Linked DNA regions of Mus musculus. The protein of the gene in region 3 interacts with the protein of the main gene of each other region in a pairwise test. Links are inferred from orthologs where the notes say so. Each region holds a gene or a part of one and is shown on either strand. Other genes may lie near its edges. The genes, in order: Rbfox2, Car8, Maged1, Smap2, Ccdc33, Rbfox1 and Bhlhe40.

Region 1 (3,500 bases), on a different chromosome or scaffold from region 3:
AATGTCTTCTTCAGTTGCTTTCCACCTTAGTTTCGAGACAGGATCTCTAATGGAACCTTGTCTTAGTCAGGGTTTCTAGTCCTGCACAAACATCATGGCCAAGAAGCACTTGAGGAGGAAAGGGTTTCCTCAGCTTACACTTCCACATTGCTGTTCATCACCAAAGGAAGTCAGGACTGGAACTCAAACAGGTCAGGAAGCAGGAGCTGTTGCAGAGGCCATGGAGGGATGTTCTTTACTGGTTTGCCTCCCCTGGCTTGCTCAGCCTGATCTCTTATAGAACCAAGACTACCAGCCCAGAGATGGCACTACCCACAAGGGGACCTCCCCCCTTGATCACTAATTGAGAAAATGCCTTACAGCTGGATCTCATGGAGGCATTTCCCCAAGTGAAGCTCCTTTCTTTGTGATAACTCCAGCCTGTGTCAAATTGACACACAAAACTAGCCAGTACAAACCTGTAGCTCACCTTTTGGCAAGACTGGCTGGCCAGCAATTCCAGGGATCCTCCTGCCTCTGCCTGCCCAGCTCCAAGTACTTCAACAACTGAACCATCTTCCCAGTGACTGGTTGGTTTTAGAAAGGCAGGCCAAGTTTGAAATCTGAGCCTACCTAAGCTCCCAGGGAATAAAAATGACGCTTGTAAAATGCTTAAAAGCAGAAATATTTTTGGCATCCTAGTTAAACTGGGGAATATTCTTTCAAGTACTTCTTTTTGTGATTGAGAGACTGTCTGAATGGGCTGCCTTTAGAATTTGCAGGCTGCTGTTTAGGTTATGCCTGTAAATTGGAGTCAAGATTACCAAATGGAAAAATTAGAATGAAGTTGAGAAAGGAATGGGAAGACAACAATAAAAATACCTTCTCTTTCTACATTGCATGGACTTCATCCTAGAAAGATGGTAATAATTCACCTTTCCAGGTGTTATGTGCTTAGCTGCCTAGCCTAGAATATAAAGCATAGGGGCCGGAGGTGTGTAACGAATACTTGCTGGTTGTTCCTTGTCAGATTGACACAAACTAGAGTTCTATGGGAAGAGGTATCAGTTGAGGAATTGCCTCTCTCAAACTGACCTGGAAACATGACTATAGGCCTTTTTTTTTTTTTTTTTTTTTTTTTTTTGATTAATCACTGTGCGTGGTGACACCCTGGGTAGGTGGCCCTGGGTTGTACAAGAAAGCAGGCCAAACAAGCAATGAGGAGCGAGCCAGTAAGTAATGCTCCTCTATCAGTTCCTGCCTCTAGGTCCTTACCTGCGTTTAACTGATGAGCCATTTCTTAAGCCCTACAAACAAAATTGCTTTTAGAGCTGTGTGCCTGGGTGTGTCTGTGTGTGTCTGTGTGGGTGGGTGGGTGCGTGCACACGCTCGTGTGTGAACGCCTGCTTGCCTGCCTGCGTCTGTGTGCTCTTATGTAGTGGGTGCACGTGGATATGCGTGCACATTCATGTGGAAGTCCAAGGTTGATGTCAAGAATATTCTTTACCACTTGATTAAGTCCGGTGCTCTGTCTTGCCTCCATGACAGACTATGAACTGCAAAGTGAAATGAACTCTTTTCTCCCCTGAGTTGGTTTTGGTCCCAGCAATAGAAAGAAGTGTAGGGCATTGGTCTCCCAGAGAATCTGAAGGGAGTTCCCAGCACCCATATCAAGCAGCTCACAACCACCTGTAACTTCAGCTCCTGAATGTCTGGCGCCCTCTTCTGGCTTCTGTAAGGACATATACAGATATATACATACACATACATTTTAAAAATAATACAAATATTTTAAAAGCATTTCATGATGTAGAAGCAATCCTATCAACTGTCATAAGTTGGCTGGGAGCTGTTGTATTTCCCTTTCAACTTAAAACTTTGAAATGTGAACTGAAAATTGATTAGAAAACATTCTTATATTATTTTTATTAAGAATGTTAAATGACTTCATATTTCTAATAAAAACAATAGCCATAATATATGTGGTAGAGTGATTGCTATAAAACATAAAGCATTACTCCAGGTCTGTTGTCTTTTTGGTTTGGTTTTGGTTTTGGTTTTGGTTTTTGATTTTTGATTTTTTGAGGTAGGGTTTCTCTGTGTAGCCCTGGAACTCACTTTGTAGACCAGGCTGGCCTTGAACTCAGAAATCAGACTGTCCCTGCCTCCCAAGTGCTGGGATTAAAGGTGTGCACCACCACTGTCCGGCCAGGTCTGTTGTCTTAGCATATAGACAGCTGTGTAAGTGTTGCTATCAGTCACATTTCCCTAAGTCAACAGGAGCCCTGTTCCCTGATGGAGGATTGCACCCTCTTATGGGCGACAGTCCTACCGTGGTTACATCTCGCTGTGCCTAGACTATGGGTATACCCTAGAAGCATTTCCTGCTCCCAATCCCCACCACTAGTTGATGTGTTTGTTCAGTTGACTGGGCCAGCTCTGGCAGAAATGGCCCTGTGGGATGATTGATGCTGTTTGCTTGTGGACCACAGTCTCACTCCCATCAGGGATGGGGTGGAGAATGGCGGTTAGAGTTCAAGAAGAGCAGCGTCAGAGACAGAGGCAAGTTCCTTGGTCCTAATCTAAACTTGGAAACTGTGTCTTTAAAGCTTCATATGTTTCTTAATAGACCCTTTCTGAAGATTTCTGAAAGGCAATCCTTAGGCTCTGCTCATCTATTAGTCTACCTTAGTTTGAATTTTTGTCTGTTGCACACCTGTTTAAATGCTAATCAGTCTTGACCTTGGAAGCAGTATATTCTGCCACCAACTATGGGTACAGGCAGAGCACCAAATGATTTGGAAGAGATGATCAAATATTAAGCTCTTGGCTATCAAGATGGCTCATCAGGTAAAGAAAGGTACTTATCACCAAATCTGAGTTTGATCCCAGGGACTCATGTTGAAGGAGGATGTAGAATCAAGTTGTCCTAACTCCACACCATACCATAATGCTCACAGGCAAAGCACACATAAAATTAAGTTTTATCAGTTGATATTTTTTAAAGAATGAAGTTATCTGATGATCCTAGCAGTTTCTTCCTGAGCGGGGGATAGTGAGAGAACATGCTAAGAGTCCTGTGTGATAAAGATTTATTCACTCACTCCTCTTTCTTTTCTGTTGCTTGCTCTAGGGTAACCAGGAGCCAACAACAACTCCTGACGCAATGGTTCAGCCTTTTACTACCATCCCGTTCCCACCACCTCCACAAAATGGAATTCCCACAGAATATGGAGTGCCACACACTCAGGACTATGCCGGCCAGACCAGTGAACATAACCTGACCCTCTACGGGAGTACGCAGCCTCATGGAGAACAGAGTAGCAATTCACCCAGCAACCAGAATGGATCTCTCACGGTATGTGAAGTCGGAGATGCAAGGTAGAAGGACGTGTGAAATTTTTACCTTCTCGGAAAGAAAGCGCTTTGAGTTAGTTTAGCATTTCTACTCACTGCCCAGCATGCATGTACTGACTGTTCTTTCCTAAGCCTTGTGGCTGGACAGTGGGGAGCTTGAACTA
Region 2 (4,034 bases), on a different chromosome or scaffold from region 3:
TCTTCAGACAGTGGAGGAGTAGGTCAACTGATGTTTTTCTCCTTAGCCTCCATCCACTTCCTGAAGACGTGATACGATATTTATTTTTTAAGTTAAGGCCCCAACAGGCAGTAAAGGATAGCAACCCGGCACCTTAAAATTTCCCAGCTAATCAATCACCCCCGCCCTGTTTGAGGAACTCGATGCATCCATTAATCTCACAGACACTGTGGAGTGTGCATGGGCTATGTAAAAGGCAAAGCATACTGCAGGCCTGAGTACTAACTTACTATGCAAATATATCTGCTATCGTGGAGGAAAGGAGCTTAGGGGTTACTGAACAGGGCTGGAACACCAGGATGAAGCATTAGCCTGAGGTTGGGACACACGCTTCAGGGGTAACGACTTGACCTCTTTGGATCGGGGAAAGTTCCTGTTTGTTTCGTAATGTGTGTGCATTTCATTATTTGCGCGACTTCACGAGGCGCTTGGGAGCGGTGTCCACAGCAAGGTGAGCCTGCAGCAGCACCCCAGACTTAGAAAGTGGAACCAAACACCCCATTTCATTGTCTTTGAAATATATTTAGTAAAAATTTCTCAAACTATACCTATGTCTAGTTGCTAAATTATTTTTCGTGAAATGTTTGTTGGACTTATTTTGGGAAAAATAAAATCCATATTCATTTTCCCTGTGTTTTAAGGACGGATTAAAAAGTAAAACTCGCTCAGATAAGCTGCCACCACCACGCTTGGCCCCATGGTGGTGGTGCATTCTTGCAAGCCCAGTGTTTGCAAAGTGGAGCGAGCCCTGTGCAGTTCAAGGTCATCCGCTTCTCCACTGGGAGGAGTTTGAAGCCAACCTGGTCTCCTTGAGACCCAGTCTCACAAAACCAAACCCCAACAAAATTGACCGGTAAACGATGGCCAATAAACCATTCGACCAGGGAGTCTTGTTGGGTTCCCGGTCTCAATCCCGTTCCCAAAGCAAGGCAACTCCATTGGGAAAATTGTTTGGAGCAAGGGGAGCACGGGAGACAGGGCGGATTTTGGAGTCTCCAGGCTTTTGAAAGGGTATTAGGACTTGGGTGCAGCAGGCTTCCCGTGTTGCTGCAGCCCCAGTTTGATTTTCGCAGGCTTGCCTGTCCCGATTGTGGGGTGAGAGGGGGTGTAGGTGGGAGTGTAGGGCGGGGGGCGTGTCCTCGAGTCAGACACGCCCCCACCGACCTTAAAACGCGCAAGCCTGCGCCGGACCGCTGCCTCTCGCGCTCGCGGGGACTGCCACGCTCAGTGCGGTCCCCAGCCCCGCGCCTGCCGCTCCCGCACCCGTGTCGCAGAGCTGCCCATGGCTGACCTGAGCTTCATTGAGGATGCAGTCGCCTTCCCCGAGAAGGAGGAAGACGAGGAAGAGGAGGAGGAGGAGGGCGTGGAGTGGGGTTACGAGGAAGGTAGGCTCGTGGGGCCGCTGTCGCGGCTGCTACGCCCCACGCGGTCCCCCACTTGCCCCTCCGTGGCTGCCTGAGTGCTGTTCGCACCTGCTGCACCCAGGCAGCCACATCTCCCAGCCTGGAGCAGACGTGCAACCGAGTTGCTTTCTAGTCTTGGGAAGTATAACCAAACGCACTTCAGAAAAACCGTCCCGAATTGCAGGCTGGATCTTGGGGACTTTAAAAAGAGTTTTCTAAATCTGTCTTCGCAGATCCAGGGCTTCGAATAGTCATTAGTGCCCGCCCATGTTTCCTGTATACACGGAGAAAAGAGCAAAAGAACTAATATGTATGGGACACTGTATTTGCATTTTAAACAAGTGGCGCTCATTAGCGTTACAGGTTTTCTGTTGTCTCTGAGCATGTGGGGCTTTGAGGAAATTTCCCAGTACTGCACATAATTGAACTGATGAGCAGAAGAAATTTCTGAGGTATCTTTTTTCTAGTCACTTCAAGATGGCATAAGTTTCTTAGATCCCTACATCAAAGCGTCTGTATGCACAGACAGTAGAGGATTTTGTGTGTGATATTTAACAACAGATCACTCACGTAATGAATGTAAAAACCCACACACATTTCTTATATTTCATCTACATACAGATGATAGTCACAGCTATAATGTTAAGGATTATGAGATTTTTGTGTTATATTTTACTGTCATTAACCTTAAAAAAATCCAACCTAGTCTCATTTTGTCTTCAGGTGTTGAGTGGGGCTTAGTGTTTCCTGATGCTAATGGGGAGTACCAGTCACCTATCAACCTAAACTCCAGAGAAGCCAGGTATGACCCCTCACTGCTGGATGTCCGCCTGTCTCCAAATTATGTGGTGTGCCGGGACTGTGAAGTCACCAACGATGGACACACCATTCAAGTCATCCTGAAGTCAAAATCAGGTAATTTGGAACACATGTTTCTGCACTTTTATAAGCAAGCTCTGATTTAACTTGTATGGTTTTAAAGGCGACACCAACACAGTTTCTATTTTCATGGTCCTTATAAGTTGCATTTTTCTGGGAATTATTTTCTAATAGAGTTCTCAGGGGCTAAGAGGGTGAAGTGATGATTATCTCAGCTGGCTGTTCTTCCAAAACTGTGCCTGGAGCTGCCTCTTGCTCAAACAAACATTTACTGAGCTATGAAGGAAGGAGTGCACACACAGGCTTGCGGAATTGGGTCTTTCTGCTGTGCGTTTTGTTCTAAGTTACTGATTAGCTGAAATCATTTAATTATAATGTCTTTTGAAAATAGTTTGTGAGACCAAAGATTGGGATGTATTGATATCACCTGTGTTCAAACTTTTCAAATTAAAGTTCCCTTCTCTATCAATGACAAGAATAACTTTAATGTTGAATGCAGTCCGATATTTAAGTGGCAACTCAGTGCTTGCTTTTGGTTATTGTTAACTCACTCACTCTTCTTGAACCTTGCCGAAATGAATCTGAAATGTTTTGTGGAAAATGCAATTTCTGGGAGAATTGCTTTCCAGCTTAAATGTAGGAGAGACAAAAACAGATTTAAAAAACATTAGCACTAAGATTGTGTTTTTCATGGGGAATAATGACTATTTTTCCTCCTGGAAGGAATGTAACATTAGTGTGTTGAGTGTTGATGTGTTTTACAAACAGACTGTGCTTACATTAATTCCAAATTGATCAGCTAGGTATTTCAAACCATGAAACCATTAGGTCTGTCATTAGGCAAAGAAGATATTTATTCCTCATCTTGTTTCACAGTTTCAATTCGAAATCCACCAGGCAGAGCCTGTATTCTTTGCAGTTATTGGTAGTTTAATTGAGGTGGGGACAGCTCCTGAAAACAGTGTGTATTTTATATGGAGCTAGTAAACACACACACACACTCACACACATTCACACACACACTTACATTCACACACACACTTACATTCACACACACTCACACACATTCACACACACATTCACACACACTCACACACACACAAACACACTCACAAACATTCACACATTCACACACTTACATTCACACTCACACACACTCACTCACAAACACATACTCACACACACACATTCACACACACACTCACACAGTGAACTTAGATTTGAGCTTAAATCAGAATGCTTTGGAGATGTTTATCTCTGGTCATTACATATTCTATACTTCTGTATACTTTATATATTCCTGGCCCCTCCCCTCCTCTGACCTCCACTCCCGAGCAGAAGGAACTGCTGCCTGTAGTTTTGTCCTGACTTGCAAGGCTGGATCCAGACTTCATTCTCTACTTCTTTCTGGACCTTCCTCCCTCAGGGGCCCAGTCCTCTCCTGTCACTACAGTGATTTCTCCCTTTTAATGTGTCAAGAAACGTCCTGCGCACGGCGGTGCACACCTTTTAATCCAGCACTGCAGAGGAAGAGGAAGGTGGGGTCTCTCGACTTCCAGGTTAACCTGATCTACATAGGGAGTTTCAGCCATGGCTACACAGTAAGAGCTTATCTAAAAAAAAAAAAAAAAAAAAGAAGAAGAAGGCAAGTGACTGGAAAAAAAAAATCTCTTAATTAGTTTATTACAGCTTCTCTAAGGAATTGTCTTTAAA
Region 3 (3,945 bases):
AGTGAGGCACGCCTTTGATCCCCACTGTTGTTCTCTTCCACATTCAAGTTATTAACCTGTATAATTAGAGAGAAGAAAATTTCAGGGTCACTATTAATCCTGGGTCCTCCCAGTTGCTATCTTAGGAAGTACCTAGGAATCTTCACCTACACCTCACTAGCCACTGGTCACTTTGATTCTCTTTGTCTTTCAGACAGGCGTTTCATCTCCAAACCAGACAAAGGAAAAAACAAACAAACAAACAGAAAGTGGGACCTAGATTTCTCCTTTTCCTGTGTGACTACGGACAGTGCTTGGTTTCACCCTGAACTCGTTTCTTCCTGACTCTGTTCTCTCTAGAGAGTGAGGTACATCTTCAAGATCTAATTGATTCTGTGTGAGCCTGCCTAGCTTAAGACATGGTGTTTAATGTCAAAATGTAAGATGGCCTACACACATATTGCCTGTGTCCTTGTATCAACTCATCATCAGCCTGTGGACAACCTGGGCTCAGGAATAATAGTTACCTTAGCACCCCCTACAACTGTGCCAAAATACAGATAAATCCATGCCCTTTATTGTGTTTGGAGCCAAGGAAATTGGAAGAAAGGAGAGAGCCCAAAGCAAAGGGAAGCTAGCTGGGATCTCACCTTGCGGGTCCTCTTGCCCCGAATTATAGTCCGGGACTCCACGTTCTGAGTCTGGGAGCCATCTGCTGATGTCTGGGCTGCTGCACCATCAGCTTCAGAGATACCTGCGCTGGTCCCTACGTCAGCCATTTTGGCCTGATTTACATTCTGGGTCTGGGCATCAGCTCCAGGGACCTTAGTAGTGTCATTCCAAGCCTTAGCTGTCTTAGGCTGGTTGTTGGTCATCTCATTGGCACTGGGAGACTGAGGGAAATTGTAGGTGGTACCGGGGCCAGCCTTAGTGCTATTCTGACCCTTAAAGGCCATTTCAGACTTTTTAGCTGATTTGCCTGTGGGTGCTGCCTGGGAAAAGTCAGAGGCAGCATGTGGACCTTTAGGGGTGCCATTCTGTGACTTAAAGGCCGCCTTAGACTGATTCTTGGGCATCTCCTTGGCATTACGTGCCTGAGAGTAATCATTTGGCCCCTTTGTGGTGGCATTCTGGGCCTTAAAGCCTGTCTTAGGCCTGGCAGCAGCTGCTGAAACCTCAGTATCAGCCTTCTCATTGGCAGTTGGGGGCTGTGAACTCTGGGGACTAGCATTTGGCCCACTGGCAGCTGCTGTGGCCTGGCTGGTGGGCGGAGCCTCGGAGATCTGGATGGCTTCCATCAAGGTCTGCACAAGCAAGGCGCTGTCTTCAACAGAGGCCTCAGCCTGCAAACACAGGAGGGGCAACATTTCAATCTCTGAGCCTTACATGGCAGACCAGAGGAGGGGGGGGGCGCGGCGCAACGCAGCAGGGGAGCTGTAGACAGGCGTCACAGTACTCAGACGTGGGGGCAGAGGCGGGTCAAAGGGAGGCGGGGCGCGAACAAAATTTAATTAAGGGTAGAGGGGGCAGGGCAAGGTGAGGGACAGTCTGTGGCAGCAGGGGCTGGTGCGGAATGTGGTGCAAGCTCTGAGCCCCAAATGGGTTTAGAGACGGACTGGTTAGGCTTGAGGTGGGGAGCTCAAGACCCGAGGAGGGAGGAATCAAGGAGGATAAGCCGAGAGGGTGGAGGGGGAGTCTCGCGGCGTGGAGAAAGGGAGGGTGGAGGCGAGAGGTTGGGGGATGGGGCGACAGACTGCTCTACACGCGTCAGGGTTATGGAAAAAAAATGGTTCCTTACCCAACCCGCATTCTCTGGGCAGAATGCCCTGACTAACAGGGTCTCCCCTTTCTCTAAGCAGGGACCGATGGCTGAAAAGGGCCGCCCCTCCCCCCCATTCGATAAACGCTAGAAATCTGAGAGCCCGCGGTGTCTAGGCCGGAAGAAGGGCAAAATCAGATCCTGCCATTCGCGCGACCTAAGGGGCCGGGGGTGGGCGTAAACTGTCAGCAGGGGAAAAATGGGGGAATTGGGAGCGGGGTCCTCACCTGGAAGCCGCGGAGGCCTGCACCGCCGTCCGGTTTCTGAGCCATAGCTCTCGTCTCCCTGGCAAGAGCAGAGCCTAAGGGGGGGGGTGTGGGAGAGAGGAGCTGGGCATTACACTACAGAAGGAAAAGACATAGGACCGAATTCTGTGTGCGTGTGTGCTTTGATTCTGGGGGCGGGTGAGGTGCCGAGTCCGGGGGGAGAACCAGGCCTAAGCGGAGCGGGAAAAGTAACCGGTCGTCCCGCTAGACCATCTCCAATCTCAGACGCGGCCAGGGAAAAGCTTCAGCGCTGCCGTTTTGGAGTCAGAGAGGAGCTGTGGATGCGGTAGTTTACGGGGGCGGGGAGGGAGGGCGGCGAGCGGGGAGACACGGGCGTCCGAAAAGTTGAATTAAGGTTCTGAATTCAGAGGAACCATCTAACGGGATCAAGGTCGGGAAATAGGATTCGGGGAGGGAACTGGAGAAAAGATTCAGGGGGACGGACGGAGTTTCAAATTAGAAAAGGGTCGGGAGCAGGGTCTGAATCCGGGAGCAGGCAGAGCAGGGGGCTTCCGAATCCAGGGTGAAGGGACTGGGAGAAAAGAATGGCGGAAGGACGCCGCGCCAGGGGGGCAGATGCCCCGTCTGGGGGCGAACCTCACCTTGCCTCAGGGCCGAACCCCAATCCCTTCGCTGTTTCCTTCTTCGCGACTCAAGAGGATCGGGAATGGCTCTGTCCGGCTCTCGGCACCCGCACTCTCTCCGCGTCCAGGAGAAAATGCCAGCGCGGCAGCTCGGGCGACCCCGCCTCTCCGCCTAATATACCACCCACCGCCTCTGGACGCGCCGCGCATGCGCAGCAGATCACTGTCCAAATAAGAGTCCCGCTTGCTTTCCCAACAAAAGCTTCATCCCAGAGCCATTGTTGCGCATGTGCACTTGGAGGAGAGCCCGCCTCCTTGCCAGCACACTATCCCACCGCCAACCAGGTTGACAGTGGACAAAGGTTCCTCCTCCCCTTCTCCTTACGCATCCACTCCTTCAACAGATGCGCAGCGCCTTTCGGTCCCACCCCCTGGCCCGACACACCAGCCCCCTACCTTTCTCCGCAATGCGTCTATGCTCAGTCCCGCCCTTTTTCCCGAACTCTCTCTAGCCAGGTCCGCAGCTCCCGCCCACCCCCGTGTGCAGAGCCCCGTAGGTAGGCCCCCCGCGGGGGTCTCTTATTTCGAAACATGCTAGGCCTCTGCTGAGTTCACCCACTCTACGACGCAGAAACCTTAAAGGCCAGAAAAAAAAAAAAAACCATTGCAGAGATACCGGAGCAAGGGTCGCCCGGGGGGGGGGGGGATCTATAGGTTTCCTCTCACTGGACTCAGAAAATGAGCTTTTTCTCTCGCCCTTTTGGCAGTTTTTGCCCATCGAAACCCTTTTTGAGGGCTGGGTTAGAGAGGTGAGGGAAAGGCGTTGGGCTGTGGGGTCTGCCCTGGGGCTTGTTTTTCTTGCAGGCTGTTTTAGGGAGATGGATGGAGTGCAACATTCTCATTTAACACACCAGGTAGCTAATGCAGAAGCCCGGGGCATTGAGCTGGTACCACACAGAAAGGCCAGAACCTGCCCCAGCACCGCTGCGCAGGCTGGTAATCCCAGCACTCTGGGGACTCAGGGAAAGCCCTGAGTTCCAGGCCAGCTGTGCAACTCTGAGACTTGATCTAAAAGACAAACAAAACCATCCATGAGGGGCCTGGATTTTCCTGAGTGTAAAATCTAGTCTGAGAACAGGGGCACTCCTTCAACCTCTATTGGAATAACAAGCTGTCCTCTCCCCAATATTTGTTCCATGGGAATAAGGCTTGTGTTCTAGGAGGCCTGGCATGTGTGGGGACCCTTTAGGTTCGTTCTGTGCTCCTCTTAGTAGGCAGTCTCCAGGAGCGAGACCGC
Region 4 (4,056 bases), on a different chromosome or scaffold from region 3:
TCTATTACTCTAGCCTTCAGAAGAATCCCTTAAGAGCAAATATCAGGAAGTAGCGTTCTCTTCCCCTTTAGCACATCCTGTTTTTTCTCAGTCTCTTTTAAGAATTTGATGAGTGAAGGGACGGAATGCATACACAGGAAGATGGCCGTGGGTTCAAGACACTATTTGTAACAAGAGAGGCTTTGGAAAATAATACCTAATAACCATTTTTAAGTAGCTGCTTATTCCATGTTACCCTATAACTGGCTCTCCCCCAAACAACCTGAGAGATGGCTCAGCAGGTGAGAGAGTTTGGTAATCTCTCATAGGACCCTGGTTCCTTCCCCAACACCCACATCACACACCCTCATCCATCAGCTGAAACTCCAGCTTCAGGTACTGCAATGCCCTCTTCTGGCCTCCTTGGACACCTACACACACACACACACACACACACACACACACACACACGCACGCACGCACGCACGCACGCACGCACGCACACGCACACGCACACGTACGCACTCACACACGCACGCATGCACACACACGCAAGTAAAGGAGGCTAGGTATGGTGGCACATACCTTTAATCCCAGCACTTTGGAGGCAGTTCTCTGTTAGTTCGAGGCTATCCTAATCTACAATATAAAGTTCCAGGCCACCAAGGGCTACTTAGGAAGAACCTGTTCAAAAAAAAATTTTTTTTAAAGGAAAGAAAAGTTCTGCCTAGACACTAGTCAGAGCGATGCTCAAAAAGGGCAGTAGTCACAGAGAAGACTAATGTATATCAGCGGCAGGAGGCATTCCAAGTTAGAAGTGATCACGAGGGAGGGTGTAATGTCTCTTTAACTCGGGTCAGAGGGTGAGTCCTTTTGTCTCTTGAAGGAAAGACTAACCTAAAGGAGTCTGGGATAGCCACAACCCTTGTATTATATAAGGATAATAAACACACATCTTATAAAGGTTGCTGTGAAGAGCATACTGTGATAATTGATAGAAAGCGCTTAGAGCAGTACATGGCACACAGTATGAGCTCTGTAAATGTTGGTCGTTCCCTTCACTTTATTCTCTTCACTCTCCTCCCTCTCCACCCGGCTTCATTCATTCTTTTCCAAGGGCACGCAGGGGGCGTGTCCTCCCTCCCGCCGCTTCCACCTAAGCCCCGCCCCCGGCTCTTCCCGGATTGGTTCCTAGGAGGCGGAGCCAAGGGGAGAGCCCAGTGCAGCGCGGTGGGCGGGGCGCATGCGCGGGTTGGGCTGGGTGGAGGAGGAGAGGAAGAGCTGCCGGAAGTAGGCGGTGGAGGTGGCGGCTGAGCTGGTCGCAGCTGCCAGGGAAACCGAGGCGGGAAGCACAGCGGGCAGACCCTCAACACTCGGGGTCAAGTGTGCGTCCCGCACGCCTGAAGCCGGGAGCTCGCTCCACCTAGGCCACTTCTGGGGTCCCGCAGCCTCCGCGAGTCCCTGCCTTGCCCGAAGCCCGCCAGGGGGCGCCGCGCTGAGGGGCTGAGGGGCTGCGGGGCGGGGGCGCTGACGGCTCTGACCCCGGGGCTGCTCCGGGCCGGGCGAGAGGACCGCCTGGGCGGGGACCCCAAGGCCTCAGCCCCGGACAGAGGCAGGGGTTCTTGGGGGGTGCAGGGGGCGCGTCGCCCTCTGCCCCCGCCGGCACCCTGGCCATGACAGGCAAGTCGGTGAAGGACGTGGATCGGTACCAGGCGGTCCTGGCCAACCTGCTGCTGGAGGAAGATAACAAGTTCTGTGCTGACTGCCAGTCCAAAGGTAACGCATCCGGGGCGCCGGCGGGGGGCCAGCTGCGGGGCGGCGGCGTGGCGATGAGCTGCGATGGCCTGAGTGGGGAGGGGGTTCTGGAGCTCAGGGCGAGTCCTCTTCGTATGACCACGCGAGCCACCCTCGCTCATGAGCTTGCTGGGTTTCCTCGGGCTTGGGACTTGGGGTTTGGTGTGGGCGAGTGTGTGTGTGTGTGTGTGTGTGTGTGTGTGTGTGTGTGTCAGCGAAGTGGGGATGATATAGTGGGGGGTGGGGTTGCCCGGTGTGTTCAGGTGAGACTGTCTATGTTGCAGACTCTGAATGGCTTCTGGGCTCGCTGTCATGCAGAGCTGGCAGCCTTTTACTTGGCAAAGCTGTGGGTGAGCTGCAGTGTGGTGGGGGTGGCGGTGGGGGTGACGAGGAGGAAGGTGAGATGACTAAGAGAAAAACTGTCGAAATGATATTTAAAGGTGGCATTCCTTGCTGTCTGCTATGTCGTTAGCAGCTCCTGTCATTTTACCACCTTGTTGAGCTCAGACCGAGTGCTTAGGTGGCTTTCTTCACCCAGGTCGTGTGCACTGAGAAACAGCTACCTTATGCAGTGACACAGTGCGGATTTCTAGGTAGTCTAGCCTGGGTTGTGGAGGCCTCATGCGTGTGTGGTGAGCGAAACTAGCAGACCTGGACTGTAGTGCAGGACCCGTTCAAGCAGGGAGAAAAGGAAGCAAGGAATTCCCCCAATTCGTTATTTCCCTGGTGATTACACCTTTAGAGAGGAAATAGAAATTGGCCACAACCACTTAGCCTTTGTTTTCTGTGTCTGTAAAGGTTCATGCTGTGTTACAATTAAAGGTCAATATGGTAGAAAATTTACTAGTGAATTCTGTACAGCTTTGTAGGTAGGAGCAGCTATAATTGGGAGGGGGTATTTACTTTAGTTCATTTCCTGAATTTGCCATGTAGCATATGGGTATAAAGTAGTATAAAGCATTCAGATGTGTGTGTGTATTAATGTTGAGAAAAGCAATAGATACTTAGCCCATACTTCATGTGATTATGGTTTATTTTAGAGTAAGGTTATGTAAGGAGGGCGCAAGAATGATGATGCATTGATTTAGACTCCTAGTAATAAATTTTAGTGACCTCTATCAGTAGGCAAATGCAGTGAACTGTCAGCAAAGCAGGTCCCCAGACTTCTCTCGAGAATTTTTGCGTTAACAGGAGTTCAATTTATGTTGAGGAGTCGAAATTTCTTGTAGCTTGATTCTTGTTAGATCTACTGGAAGGTTTGGTTTACAGTGTAGGAGCACCTTTGGTCTACTCAAATCCTCTGATGTCCTCATTGACAATTTTAAGTCGCAGCGAGGCATCCACTGAGCAGAAACCATTGTTGATGATTTTTAGAACCGCCCCCTCCCCTGTACTCATGTTGTTTGTATGCTTACTCATCCCAATAACATATACCATGGGGAAGAGACACGTTAATTTACCAGGTCTTCCTCCAAATCTCCCATTGCCCTTTATTAATAGCCTTACTAGATATAATCAGACATAGAACTTCGTTAATTCCTGATGAGAACTAGTAACTGGGGCCTGCGATAGGGCTCAGTGAATAAAGGTGCTTGCCACTAAGACTGACAACCTGAGTTTGATCCCCAGGACTCACAGGGTAAGAGGAGAGAACCAGCTCCCATAAATTGTCTCCTGACCTCCACGTGGACTCTAGTACATACATGTACAATCTCCACAAAGTTAATAATTAAGATGTAAAAACAGACGACACCAACAACAAAGCCTAGTAGCTGTCTGCCACTGATACTAAAACCTTGGATCCTGAATGTTCTGAAGTTAGAAATTCTCTTCAACGCGTTTGCCACTATTAAAAAAAGAGATGCCCACGTGTCCATTATCTTTCAGTTCTGTCAAACAGGCTTTTGCAGAGGCCTGTTTATCTAGCTGCCGAATGTTCAGCCCTGTCTGCCGGTTAACCCCTCCTTCATTCTCTTCCTCTTTTCCACTTTCAGGTTTTGTGATGAACTCGTAGGCAGTTCTCAGAGGGTAGGAAAGAGAGATATTTGCATTAGTAGATCATGACCTGCTCAGCCCTGATAAAAAGGACCAGCAGTTGGTGGAAGAGTTAGAAGACTGTTCACTGAAATAAGATTTGAGTTTGAGTTTACTTTTCTGTTTTCCTCTTGTCCTTTTCAGAAAATTGAGAGCTCACCAGACAAGGTCTGGAGAGTTCATCTATTAGTATTTAGTGTATTGATGTTGCCTGGACTACAGACCTCTAAGTGGATACTTTTGTAATGT
Region 5 (3,978 bases), on a different chromosome or scaffold from region 3:
GGTGGCGGCGTGGTGGTGATAGTAGTGGCAGCAGACTTAGTCTCTTTTGAATAGTGTCTAGGATCCTCTGATTTCCATTGAAACCCAGGACAAAGAAGCACAGACTCTAGACTGACAACCTAGCTTTGAGAGGCCAAGTTCTCTGTAAAGCTGTATGTCTTGTATAAGGTAAGCTGGTTGCAGAAGCAGACATGGACCATATATTCCCTTACCCTGGAGACCTCTCCCATATCCATACTAAGGACTCCCAGGTAGAGACAGGTTCCCCAGAAATGGAGAGTTCTGAATACCACATACTCATGTGCCCCCAATTTTCTATAGAATGTATGAAGTAGATCATCTCTTAGCACACTTGAGAATTTGGTTGTGTGTGTATGTGTTTGTGTGTGTGTGTGCATGCATGCATACATGCTGTGTGTATGGTTTAAGGATTTATATATGTTATGAGTACAAATGTGTGTACAAGTACACATGTGTATGTGTTTGTATCTGTGTGTATGTTTGTGTGTACAGGTACACATGTGTGCATGCTTGTGTGTGTGTGTTTGTGTGTACAGGTACACCTGTGTGCATGTTTATGTATGTGTGTTTGTGTGCACACATACACATGTGTGTGTTTGTATGTACAGGTACATGTGTGTGTGTGTGCATGTAGATACCAGAGGTCAACCTCAGATGTTATTCCTCAGGACTCTTACTTTTTTTAAGACAGGAACTTACTGATTCTCCTAGATGGACTTCCTGCCTGGGCCTTCCCAGGACTAAAATGATAAGCATAGCATACACAACCATTCCTAGTTTCCATGGGTCCTGGGAATCAAACTCAGGTTCTCATGCTTGTGCATCAAGTACATTACTGACCGAGTCCCAGCCCTGATCATTCATTTTCCATATTTCTTGTTTATCTTTGTCTTCTCTACCCATTACCTTCACTAGAAGACAGGCTTCAGGAGGGCAGGAATGTGTCTATTTCACTGCTATATTCAAAATGCCCAAGACAGCACCTCATATACAGTAGGTTCTCAATAAATATTTACTGAGAGATCAAATGCTAAATGGGAAGAATTAATTGATGCCTTTGTTCCCCAGTTCAGGCTCAGTTTCCTGGCTTGTTGCCTGGATCCTTCTCAAACAAACAGAGAAGGGTGAGGTGTGGCCCCAAGTGCCTAATCTGTCTTCTTTCCGACTGGACCCAGGATGGGACTGTGAGCAGGAGAGGGCAGGGCTCAGCCTGGAGTTCTGACCCTGGCTGAAGCCATGGCCTTTAGAGGTCCTGATCCCTACCTCCCTGCATCCCTGCTGAGCCAGCGACTGAAGGCTGGAGAGAAGACACTGGACCTGGAGTTTGAGATCTTGAGTGTGGGATTTAATGAGGAGGGCCGGTACGCCCTGAGGCTGTCAGCTGAAAACCCACTGCAGGCAGGCTCCAGTGCTGGGGTGCAGTTGCAAGTCAATGATGGGGACCCCCTTCCAGCCTGCTCAGCTGTCACTGAGGTCATTGAGCAGCAGGATCCTGGCCAGAGCCTCACCTTCACCAGGAACAAATTTATCTTCACTCTGCCCAAAGGTACAAAGTGAAGTCAAGGGTTGGGGGGGAAGCAGGATCTTTGGGACTTCTGCCCTAGAGCTGATCAGGACCCTGGGGGACTGCAAGGGACCTGGACAGCCAGAGGCAGAGCTCCAGCCTTAATTCTAAGCTCTGCCTGTGTGACTATGTGGCCTTGGGCAAACGCTGGTCCTGTAAGGTTCCTGCTTCCTTCAGCGTGGCATGGATGCTGAAACTGTTCTCATAGAGGGCAAAGGTGAAGAGGAACTAAAGGGGGATGTGAATTTGATAGAGACAAAGCCCACAGCATGTTTAGACCTAGGCAGTGAACGGTACATGGATGAAGTGATGCTAGAAGCCCCCTGAGTTCCTTCTGATTGTAGGGATAGAGACTGGACAGACATGAATGGATAGAAGATCCTGGTCTTACTTTCTGGGAGCTTCCAGACTGGGTACAAAGAGGCAGGAATTTTAAGTCAAAACTAGCTAAGTAATCTAGAAGATCCAGGCTTAGACAGAGGACTTACCAGACAACAGTCCTGGTGTATATCCCAGGCTAAGGTTAGCCAAACTCTTCCCTGGTGTCAGAACCCAGAACAATTCCATGGGCTATAGGCCTCCTCACTCTGGTGGGGTCACATGAGGCATAGGTAAACCAAAGGAGTCTTGAGTGAGGGCTGAGAGGAGTCAGCCACAAGGGAATTCTTAGCCGAGCTCACTTGGATTCAGTTCAAGTTGCCCCAGGGCCCTGGATGTCCTTCTCACCCCTTGGAGAAGGGAGGGAGATCCTAAAGACCACATTTAAAGCCATGTTCTCCACCCAGGGTTCTGTAAGAATGATGGGCAGAGTGATGCACATCTGCGTGTGGAGGCTCTGAGGCTGGATGGATCCTCAGGACAGGAGGCTCAGAGGGTAGGTGAGGCCATCTTCCCCATTTACCCACGACCAGATGAGCCCCGAATGAACCTCACAGCACAGGATCATGAAGACCTGTACCGCTATTGTGGCAACCTGGCTCTTCTCCGAGCCAGCGAGGACCCCACAGCCCGCCACTGTGGGGGCCTGGCTTACAGTGTGGCCTTCCATGTGCACAGGGACCCTAGGTCCTCTGTCTCAGACTGTCAACTGGAACCCAGCCAACCAGAGCTACAGGTAGGTGCTCCTGGGTCCCAGTTCAGGACACAGCCTTTGATGAAACTGGCTGTCTGCAGCCCTACAGTCCCCAACCTCAATCTCCTACGTTCTCAGCAGACTTCGAGGGAGGCCCTGAGTGACAAGATAGAAGAATCTTATATGAGCCCATTCAGCACTGACAGTGACCAGGAGGGGCTCAGCTGGGAAGCAGGACCCTGGCAGCATCCGGCTCAGGTGAGGGGCACCAGCCCTTCTGTGGGAGGGTTCCCTACTACGTTCTCTCTCATTTAGGCATCACATCCAATTGAGAACTCACAGAGCAAGCAGTAGTTCATTGCACAGATGGAGAAAACACACCTCAGGATTCTAGGTTCCACGAAATGTCAACAGTTACTGGAAACCTCAGGACATACATAGTAGCGTGTGGTACCCAATGCCAGGACAGCCACTAAGTATGGAATGTCACTAGAGCCAATACATTTGGATAAAATATTGGTATTACACACAGTCCTTGACACTGTCATGAAGGCTCTGAAAGGGGTCAGGGTGTAAGCCCAGGACAGGCTTTCTCAGAAGATGTGTCATTTTGAAAGGGCTCTTTGCTTCCTTCCTCACTCATTTACGGGCTCCTCCATCCTGTATTTGTCTTTCAGACTAGGTGAGTGAGGTTTACGGGTAGCAATTTGGAGAAGGTTCCATGGGTGAGGTCTAGTATAAGCTAGCAAAGAGAAGAAGGTGGCTCAGTCAGCGGGCAGCAGAGGGACGAGTTGAGATGGAGCTCAGAGCTTGCTCTCTCTCCCTCCCCCCTCTCCCTCTGCCTTCTCTCTCCCTCCACCCCCCTCTCCCTCTCTCTCTAGCTCCTCCCCGCCCACACACTTTTCTTGCCTGGCACTGAGTAGAGGCAGGGAGGGAAACTGAGTTAGGTCATGGAGAGGTTCAATAGGGAAAGAAGTGGGAGGAGCTGAAGCTATCCTGGCACCGAGCAGAGGGAGGTATTCAATTCTGGAGGCAAAAGGTGAGGTGTGGGAGGGGCCTGTAAGGACAGGATTGTATGCAAAGTAAGCAGGCAGCATGTGACAGGGACCCAGAAGCAATGCTCTCATCCAGGCCTCTAACATGGCCCACTCTGACCTTTGTCCATTCATTTCTCAATCAATGAACACACCTTTCTGACCTACTCCTGTGCTCAGCCCCAATCCGTTCTGGAGGCTAAGTGTATGGACGAGATGGACAGTCTAGGTGAGGCTGAAACTCCCTGTGCTCCTAGCCTGGGCCCAGCTCCTCTGTCTAATGCTAT
Region 6 (3,970 bases), on a different chromosome or scaffold from region 3:
GCGGTTTAAACTCAACACTGCTTCCTACTAGCTGCAAAGTGGCTGCCTAGTGTGAGTCTGGATTCCTGTTGGGTACCACTTTGCTTCCTGGGTCTGGGAATTAGCCCCTGCATCCGAGATGTGGAAGAATGGAGCTCAATAACCCACAAAGCTAATTTACTCAGATTTCAGCTATTATTTTGTTACTCATGAATTGCCTTTTCAAACTGAAATTGGGTGAAGAAGGGGTGGAAAGTGAGCCCACTGTTTTGAGACAGTTTCATGTAGCTCAGGCTGGCCTTAAGTTTGCTATACAGCTGAGCTCCCAATTTTTCTATACCAACTTTCTGAGTTCTAGGATTATAGAGGCTATCCACCACATACTGAGTATTCTTAGATAATTTTTGATCAGCTACCCACATGAACCTGCTAGATTTGAGTGTTGTTGTTATGGTTGTTGTTGTTCTTATTTGTTTGGTTGTTTTTGGTTTTGTTCATAACTGTGGCGGAATGGGTATAGGTGTGAAAATGTATGTGCTGTGTTCAAAGGGTGACCTCCAGGTATCTTTCTTTATTGCTTTTTACTTACGCTTTGAGAGAGGGTCTTCCACTAAACCACTGTACATGGAAGTTTCTGTTTGGCTATGCTGGCTCGACAGTTGAGACCCTGCATTCTCCTGTCTCTGTTTTCCCAGTGCTAGGAATGTGTGACACATTGCCTGATTTCTTACATAGGCACTGGAGATCCAAATTCCAGTCCTCAGGCTTATATGGTAGTATACAAACTCACATAACAACCAGTTGCAATTTAGAACTGAAGTCTAGGCTCTGGTGATGATTTTTATGTGGGTAAATGTTTAAGTTCTTTAAGTTGCAACTGATTGTCATGTAAGCTTACACATTTCTATTACTTATTCTCTCTAAAAATCTCATGCAGACCCAGCCCCTTGCAATTTGGCCCAGTTCCTCAGGACAAATGCCTTCTCTTTTCGCCTGATTCCCTGTCACTCCATCTCCCTTGGTCTGAGAACTAAATTAATGAAGAGTATTTGGTTAGTCATGTTGGGCGAGCTGCTCCCAAAATAGCTCCTTCCATTTTGGTAGCTCCGACCGACCCTGCAGCTGCCGCGTCCCTTCCTTGTCTGGGAAGAAAACTTTCACATTAAGAGTTGCTGATGCAGGGTTTTGTTTCCTTTCCCTCTCCGCTGCCTGTGGATGAGCACTTGGCTCCTGACAGAAGTGATTTGGCTCTCGGCTTTGTAGTTGAGAAGAAGTTGGGTCTATAGATTTCTTTCCCCCTCTAACTCTCTATTGATGTGTTCAGCCTTGGAGGGAATAAAGCCTCCATTTAAAGCATGTTGGCGTCGCAAGGAGTCCTTCTGCATTCTTATGGCGTGCCCATGATTGTGCCTGCTGCCCCCTACTTCCCGGGACTGATGCAGGTAATTCATGGCTTTTGCCAGCAAGCAACTTAACTCCAGAATGCTCTAAGTAATAATTGGAATTTTTATGGTTGAGAAAGCAAACACTTTTAATACAGGAAGAGAAAAAAAAGCCCTCGTGTAGTCAAAGGAAAGACAGTAGGAAATCAAAAAGATGGATCACCTTAATCTGGCTATTGACATCTCTCATGGATGAATAAATGGTGTAGTTGAGCTGTATTTGCTTGTATTGATCTGGGTGCTGTTTAACATTCATGCCTTTGCTTCGGGAGGTTGACCAGGGGGCAAAAGATTTGCTCTCTTCCCTAGCTTTCTGAGGGACTGGGTCTCCCAGAGCAGATCATGAGGCTCAGTAACTTATCATGATATGGCTTGCTTAAAGGCTTTAACCCCGGAAACAGAAGGGCAGGAAATACAGAGTGCTGCTGAGGACACCCCACACAGGTTGTTGTTTGCAGAGAAGCTTCCCCTTGCAAATCTGAGAGGCGACCCACAAACAAGAGGGTACACTGAGAATGGTCTCGCTAGGAAGTTCAGAGGTTATTCTGCAAATTCGATGCCAACTGTTTGTATTCTCGGCAGCTGGGGAGAAGTTAGGATGCCTGTTGTTTTGACTGCTAAGGCTATTATTCTGTGTACCGAGAGGTTTGTGTGCTAGCGAGAAATTGGACCTGTTTCTTTGCCTTATTGTACCTCCTTGCTGTCACTCAAACCCACTGCTTCTGGGTGTACGCCTGCAGTTCTCTGGGAAGCCAACATCCACTTGTGATAGAAGTGGGTCATTGTAGGAAGCAAGTGGCTATTTGTTGCTGTTCTTTAGAAATAAGCAACCCTAAGTAATAAATCCTAAATCTCCTTTCTATGGGAAAGGAAAATTAAATATATGCAGTACAACACTTTAGCTTTTTTTCCTGTAGCCCCACTCCCACCCAGCCCTCTCTGAGAGTTCTACAAAACTCTAATTCATTAATGACGACTTCTGTGGAGGATTGAACAAATATTCTTTTTATTCTTTGACTGTGACTGTGACTGTGACCTTCTATTAACTGTCAGAAGCTGGGTGGCAGAATGCACCCAGACGTCAATCCCGATAGCATCAGAACTGCCAATTACCCTAGATGTATGGATACTATTGCTACACTTCTATGTTATAGGTAAATAGACCAGCAGAGAATGGCCCTGGCACCAAGGAAGGGAACTTGTGGCCAGATGGTGACATGAAACTTAGGACTTGAAGGTGAAGCAGAGTAACAGTGCTTTTGGCTTCTGTTGGAAATTTGGGGTGAAGGTCAAAGGCTGGAGTTTTGTCGGCCCCTGTGCTGCCCTATCCGATAAATAATTACAAGCAAATCGCTCATTTCAGTCCGTGCTGATTGATGCTGAAATTGCTTTTGAAAGTTCTCATAAGTTCCTGTTATAGATTAAGTGCTGGTGCAGGAGAATAACGGCACCCACAGAAATGGGTGAATGTAATCAGGTTTAATGGACTCGAGAGCTTGTTGGGAATTAAATAACTATCGATTTGCTGGGATGTTTCTGTCATTACAAAATGCCACTCTGAACGTATTACCCCAATGATAGATGAGAAGACGCTAGAACCAACTGCAAAGCTGGGAAGGCACTATTTCTTCCTCTTTGGCAAAATGTTCAAGAAACATAACTGGTTAGTGTGGAATGGAGCAAGTTATTTTACTTGCAAATGTTAACCTGATCCATTCTCATTTGTTTCCCAAAAGGAAACTTCTGAACTAGTGACCTACAAGTCCTTCTGTGTGTGTCAGTGAGGAGCCTCCGATGAGCTACTGGGACCCACTGCACCCTTCCCCTCTCCTCCACACAGAGCACACTGCAAGGCTGTGCACATGAAGGTGCTAGCCTTCTTGCTGCTTTGTGGAGGCTCAAAGAAACTAAACCCCCTCCCATTGCAGTTTTGTTCTTAAGGAAAGGATGTGGTATGATAGAATAGGTAGGAAATTCTAGTGCCTCTTTACCTTTCAGCTTGCACTTCCTGCCCTAGCTACCTTGGCCCTTAGCTTGAGGAGTTTCACCCCGAGTCAGGAATAAAGGCCCTTTTGCCAGGATTCAGATTTCTTTAGCAACTTAGTGATTCCAGCAAGACAAGAAAATGAAGAGGACTATGGACTCATCTTTGCTAGGATCCCTTGTGCCTGCATAGTTGGGAACAGCATGAATGGTTATGTGCAAGGGCCACTGGCGAGCTGCTTGAGATGCTGTTCACAATTTCACAGTCTTTCTAAACTCAACAGCCAACAGTTCTGTGGCCAAAGATGTTCCTTTTTGAATTGCTGCCTGAGACACTTTTGAAATTCAGGCCAGTGTGGCTTAATTTTTCTGCAGTTAAAGAAAAAATAATTTGCATTTTTTTTAAGTTTTAAGAGAGTACCTGACTCATGCTACAGTCAGTACCTACAGATGTGTCCTTACGTGTCTAGTGAGGTCCCTCTCATGGCCTCTTCTTTAAAGTCAGTCCCATAGTTAACATGGGATTTCCATTCCTACTTTCTGTTTCTCTGGAAAACCAGTGTCAC
Region 7 (4,089 bases), on a different chromosome or scaffold from region 3:
GGATCCCATGCAGATCCCTTGCAGCCCGGTGCGCGGGGGTCTAGGCTTGGAAGCCAGCGCGGAGAGGCTTGCAAGTGAGCCGAGCTCCGGCCCGCGTCCGGGCCACGTGAAGCGTCACGCCCCGCGCTGCTGCAGGGCAGGCGCCGTCGCCGCGGTTGTGTAACGCTGCAGCCGGAGGGGAGGCGACCCGGACGCCTCTGCATCGGAGGGGGCAGAGGAGGGAGGGAACGCCGGGCACTGTGCCCGGTATCTTTCTGTGCTTGACTAGCCAGGGTGGGTGGGGGCAGTGAGGCACCCTGAAAGGCGGGAGGAGATGGGTGCGCGCCAGTCGGGTGCCAGGCCACCCGCAGGCTGCGCCTGGGACCTGAGCTCCCGGGAGAGTCCGGGGTGGGGGTGGGGGGAGGGGGTCGGCACGGCTCACACGGTCCACGGTCAGGTGCGCGCGGCGTGCTCGGCGGCGGCCTCGGCTGCCCTAGCTCCTGGCCACCAGCCCGCTTCCCATGGGGTGACATCCGCCCCGCCCTCGGTCCCTCCCCAAGGCGGGCAATTCCTGGACACTGAGGCTGAGCGCTGGGGGGGGGGGGGGGGGGGGGGCTGGGAAGCCAGGACGGAAAGAAACCCCAGCCTCTGGAGAAGGCTAAGGGGGGCCGACGACTCCCTCAGCTGCGCACCGGTTCCTAGGAGCGGGCCAGGCGGGGGAGGAGGAAGAAGGCTGGGCTGGAGCGACCAAGGGGATATTCCTCTCCCGGCTTGAGTCAGACGCGGGCGGAATCCGTCCTCCCCCGTTCCCTCCCAGGAGACGGGAACTTACTTCATTTCCCTGGGGCAGGTTCGCCCACGTTACCAACTCTTCCCCCCCCCCCTCCAGCTCCCCGGTTCCTTCCAGCTTCCGTGCCCCCCACCCAGCTGGGCAGGACTCTGGCTGCGCTGCCACCCCCTCTTTCGGGGAAAGGAGGCCGCAGCCGCAGACACCTGGGGGCCCGAGGTTTGGAGGGGGGGGGGGCACTTCGCAGCCGCCAGAGCGTTGTCCAACACGTGAGGCTCATGTGATGAAGCCGGGGGAGGGCGGGCAGGTCGCTCCTTCCCTCCCCGGCAGCGGCCAGACGTGCTTGGAGTCACAGGGTAGAACACGTAGCTTCTACCCACCCACTCGCTCCCATTTAACCCAGCCCGCAGCCTCTCCTTACTCCTCGGCTCGTCCCCTCCAGCAACTCCCCCCCCCCCGCCCCGCCCGCTCCGCCCTGAGCAACCCCCCCTTCCCTCCCGCCTCTCCGCCCGCCCCACTTCTCATTCACTTGGCTCGCACGGCGCAGACAGCGCAGCGAGCACACACCGCCAGTCTGTGTGCAGAGCGGGAGCCAGAAGCCGTGGGGACACCCGGCCATGCACGCCCCCAACTGAAGCGACACCTCAAAGCCGCTGCTCCTGGCATCCCAGCGCATTGCAAGGAAGCTCAGGCTAGCTCATAGGAACATACCTCTTGAGACCCTCGGATCCTCCCTTCCAGGGCAGCCCTTTCTCAGACTCTACTAAGTGCAGACAGGAGCGCACAGTGGCCCCTGCTCGCCGCATCATGGAACGGATCCCCAGCGCGCAACCACCTCCTACCTGCCTGCCCAAAGCTCCAGGGCTGGAGCACGGAGACCTGTCAGGGTAAGTGTGTGCTGTGATCCCTTCAAGTCTCCACTCCTAACCTTGTGTTCCGCGACACTCTCAACTTGGGGCATCTCTGAGAGTATAGGGGGCTTCTTTCACGTCTAGGGCTCCTGCAGCTAGTACGCACTCGGGAGTCACGGCTTTTTCTGACCTCTCTCCCTGCAGGATGGATTTTGCCCACATGTACCAAGTGTACAAGTCCAGGCGGGGAATAAAACGGAGCGAAGACAGCAAGGTAGGTGCATCCCTGGGAACCTCATTCCTTAGCCCCTCGTGTGCGCTGAGTTTCCAAGAAAAGTTTGCTTGTTTCAAGGTTGGCTGGGGGGTTCAAGATGAGATGAGCTCATTGCCACAAATGAGTGACTTGGGAAAGAAGGGGCAGAGAAGGTGAATCTGGGTGCGTCTCTGCGCCCTCGCAGAATTTTTCCCCCCTGCTACCGGTTGGGAAGGAAGGGAGGAAGCTTCGTTCCCTTCCCCGGGCACCCATTGCTTCCATGTATTCCATGCAGGAAACTTACAAACTGCCGCACCGGCTGATTGAGAAAAAGAGACGTGACCGGATTAACGAGTGCATTGCCCAGCTGAAGGATCTCCTACCCGAACATCTCAAACTTACTGTAAGTGAGAAGCTGGCTGCGCTCCAACCCAGTTCTTCTGCCCAGAGGGCGGATGGTGGGGTGGGGGTGTCTCTCGCCGCCTGCAGGCGTCACGGGGAACTGCATGCTAGACGGGCGGATCAAAGCTTCTGGTTTGGAGGGAACCCATCCCCAGACCCAGAACTTCCTAAGCAGAGGCAGAACCAGAACCATCTGGGGCCTCTTTAAGTTGGCTTCAACACTAACACAGCTTCCTTTTGGTAGTTTTTTTTTCTCTCTCTCACCACCTTGTAGTCTCCCTGACTTAAAGAAGCAAACCACGAAATTAAAAACTTAAGCCTTGTCCGCTTTTCATTTACAATAGGACCTACTTTATTTAATGTGTGCCTTTTTTTTTTTTCGTCATAATCTTTACTGGTAGCCAAAAGCTTTTTAGCTTTTCCTTCGGGAAAAGTATTTGGAAAGGAAGACAAAAAGCCAGCATGACTGGAAGTTCTGAACAAGTGTCAGGGGGGAAAGAAAGAAAGAAAGAAACGCAACACATTGGGAAAGCCACTTGGTTGCCAGACACAGTAGACATCCCTCCCTGGGTTGACACCACAGCAGATAAATGTTATCCCCGGAGTCCCCTAAGTTAAGGTCAGGGCAGCTGCTGGAGAAATATATCTGTCAGCTCACTCCCTAGACTGTAACAACTACCAAAATGCCTCCAAAGATAGACAACACGTGTCTGGCTTTTTTTTTTTTTTAAGCTTTTGATCATCTATGTGTATATGTTAAAACATCTGCAAACTTTAAATTTAGTGGAGCAGGAAAGACTCTTCCTATCTTTGTTGTTGTTGACACCCAATTCTCCTAACAGATAGTGTCAGAAGGGACTCCACTGACCTCACGGGTGACAGACTCTCCGTTTTTTTCTTCTTCTTCAGACTTTGGGTCACTTGGAAAAAGCAGTGGTTCTGGAGCTTACGTTGAAGCACGTGAAAGCATTGACAAATCTAATTGATCAGCAGCAGCAGAAAATCATTGCCCTGCAGAGCGGTTTACAAGCTGGTGAGTCCCCGGCCTGATTAGTGTCTCCTGAGAGCTCAGTGCCAATCTAGCCCCTGGGAGCTCGCTCTGGCTTCTGACTCTTCTGTTACCATTCATTTTTCACAGTCACTGGGCAGGGGTGGGGGGGGGGGAGATGCTCTTCTGATTCTTTCCTAAAAGGTCATATTTTGCCATACGGAATGCTGCTGTGCGCCACCTGAAATGAGTCCATGTTAGCCCAGTGATGAAATGTTTCGGTGACATTTTGAGAGTGTCTAGGTTATGGGAGACTTCCCCATCCCCCTTTAAAATGCCAAGGCACCTATAATTTGCATTGTGGGTGTTTTTACAGTTGGTCTGATGAGCCCTCATTCATGGGCGAACAGAACACGGGTCTGCCCCCAGTGTTTTCCTGTTTCTTTGCTTCCTTCTCTTTGGATGTGGGGTGCAGTCTTGGCAGGATGACAGCAGGTTTTCTTTTTTCTTTTTTTTTTTTTTCCTCTTGCCTGCCTTCCATTGTGGTTCCCTGAATAGCCACCAGGTATCTTGGCAAATTGCACAATCCAACGAAACCACTGCTTTCATCATTCATTTATCCTGAGTTTCAGAGAATCGGGGTACAGACCAGGGGGAATCCTAATATGTACCCCAATAGGCGTTCTTCAGTCCTGTCCAAGGCTAGAATGAGAATCACAGAAACCAAACCAAGCCAGTATGTCTGCCAGTTTTCTTTCTAAAAATAGAAAGTTGATCAGGACTGATCTCGGGGTGTGTGTGTGTGTGTGTGTGTGTGAGCTACAGTATA

What was found.
Region 1: the proteins of Maged1 (region 3) and Rbfox2 interact in binary tests that used the Homo sapiens proteins (3 or more experiments, as listed by UniProt). The two-hybrid records come from large-scale screens. The link is inferred for Mus musculus from reciprocal best matches to the Homo sapiens genes MAGED1 and RBFOX2.
Region 2: the proteins of Maged1 (region 3) and Car8 interact in binary tests that used the Homo sapiens proteins (3 or more experiments, as listed by UniProt). The two-hybrid records come from large-scale screens. The link is inferred for Mus musculus from reciprocal best matches to the Homo sapiens genes MAGED1 and CA8.
Region 4: the proteins of Maged1 (region 3) and Smap2 interact in binary tests that used the Homo sapiens proteins (3 or more experiments, as listed by UniProt). The two-hybrid records come from large-scale screens. The link is inferred for Mus musculus from reciprocal best matches to the Homo sapiens genes MAGED1 and SMAP2.
Region 5: the proteins of Maged1 (region 3) and Ccdc33 interact in a two-hybrid assay, tested with the Homo sapiens proteins (2 studies listed by BioGRID and IntAct). The two-hybrid records come from large-scale screens. The link is inferred for Mus musculus from reciprocal best matches to the Homo sapiens genes MAGED1 and CCDC33.
Region 6: the proteins of Maged1 (region 3) and Rbfox1 interact in a two-hybrid assay, tested with the Homo sapiens proteins (2 studies listed by BioGRID and IntAct). The link is inferred for Mus musculus from reciprocal best matches to the Homo sapiens genes MAGED1 and RBFOX1.
Region 7: the proteins of Maged1 (region 3) and Bhlhe40 interact in binary tests that used the Homo sapiens proteins (3 or more experiments, as listed by UniProt). The two-hybrid records come from large-scale screens. The link is inferred for Mus musculus from reciprocal best matches to the Homo sapiens genes MAGED1 and BHLHE40.

What each region holds. Positions count from the first base shown.
Region 1 is NC_000081.6:77,132,554-77,136,053, reverse strand, and holds part of Rbfox2 (RNA binding protein fox-1 homolog 2), read left to right. Parts: intron 1-3,112; coding exon 3,113-3,337; intron 3,338-3,500. UniProt on the Homo sapiens protein: RNA-binding protein that regulates alternative splicing events by binding to 5'-UGCAUGU-3' elements. Prevents binding of U2AF2 to the 3'-splice site.
Region 2 is NC_000070.6:8,236,242-8,240,275, reverse strand, and holds the start of Car8 (carbonic anhydrase-related protein), read left to right. Parts: upstream 1-1,234; 5' UTR 1,235-1,321; coding exon 1,322-1,424; intron 1,425-2,165; coding exon 2,166-2,357; intron 2,358-4,034. UniProt on the Homo sapiens protein: Does not have a carbonic anhydrase catalytic activity.
Region 3 is NC_000086.7:94,539,226-94,543,170, forward strand, and holds the start of Maged1 (melanoma-associated antigen D1), read right to left. Parts: upstream 2,801-3,945; 5' UTR 2,667-2,800; intron 2,100-2,666; 5' UTR 2,071-2,099; coding exon 2,026-2,070; intron 1,323-2,025; coding exon 630-1,322; intron 57-629; coding exon 1-56. UniProt on the Homo sapiens protein: Involved in the apoptotic response after nerve growth factor (NGF) binding in neuronal cells. Inhibits cell cycle progression, and facilitates NGFR-mediated apoptosis. May act as a regulator of the function of DLX family members.
Region 4 is NC_000070.6:121,014,448-121,018,503, reverse strand, and holds the start of Smap2 (stromal membrane-associated protein 2), read left to right. Parts: upstream 1-1,256; 5' UTR 1,257-1,652; coding exon 1,653-1,755; intron 1,756-4,056.
Region 5 is NC_000075.6:58,116,024-58,120,001, reverse strand, and holds the start of Ccdc33 (coiled-coil domain-containing protein 33), read left to right. Parts: upstream 1-1,178; 5' UTR 1,179-1,257; coding exon 1,258-1,567; intron 1,568-2,370; coding exon 2,371-2,699; intron 2,700-2,795; coding exon of another isoform or gene 2,796-2,798; coding exon 2,799-2,915; intron 2,916-3,978.
Region 6 is NC_000082.6:7,068,665-7,072,634, forward strand, and holds the start of Rbfox1 (RNA binding protein fox-1 homolog 1), read left to right. Parts: upstream 1-1,170; 5' UTR 1,171-1,334; coding exon 1,335-1,421; intron 1,422-3,970. UniProt on the Homo sapiens protein: RNA-binding protein that regulates alternative splicing events by binding to 5'-UGCAUGU-3' elements. Regulates alternative splicing of tissue-specific exons and of differentially spliced exons during erythropoiesis.
Region 7 is NC_000072.6:108,659,340-108,663,428, forward strand, and holds the start of Bhlhe40 (class E basic helix-loop-helix protein 40), read left to right. Parts: upstream 1-1,289; 5' UTR 1,290-1,573; coding exon 1,574-1,653; intron 1,654-1,821; coding exon 1,822-1,891; intron 1,892-2,165; coding exon 2,166-2,273; intron 2,274-3,181; coding exon 3,182-3,305; intron 3,306-4,089. UniProt on the Homo sapiens protein: Transcriptional repressor involved in the regulation of the circadian rhythm by negatively regulating the activity of the clock genes and clock-controlled genes.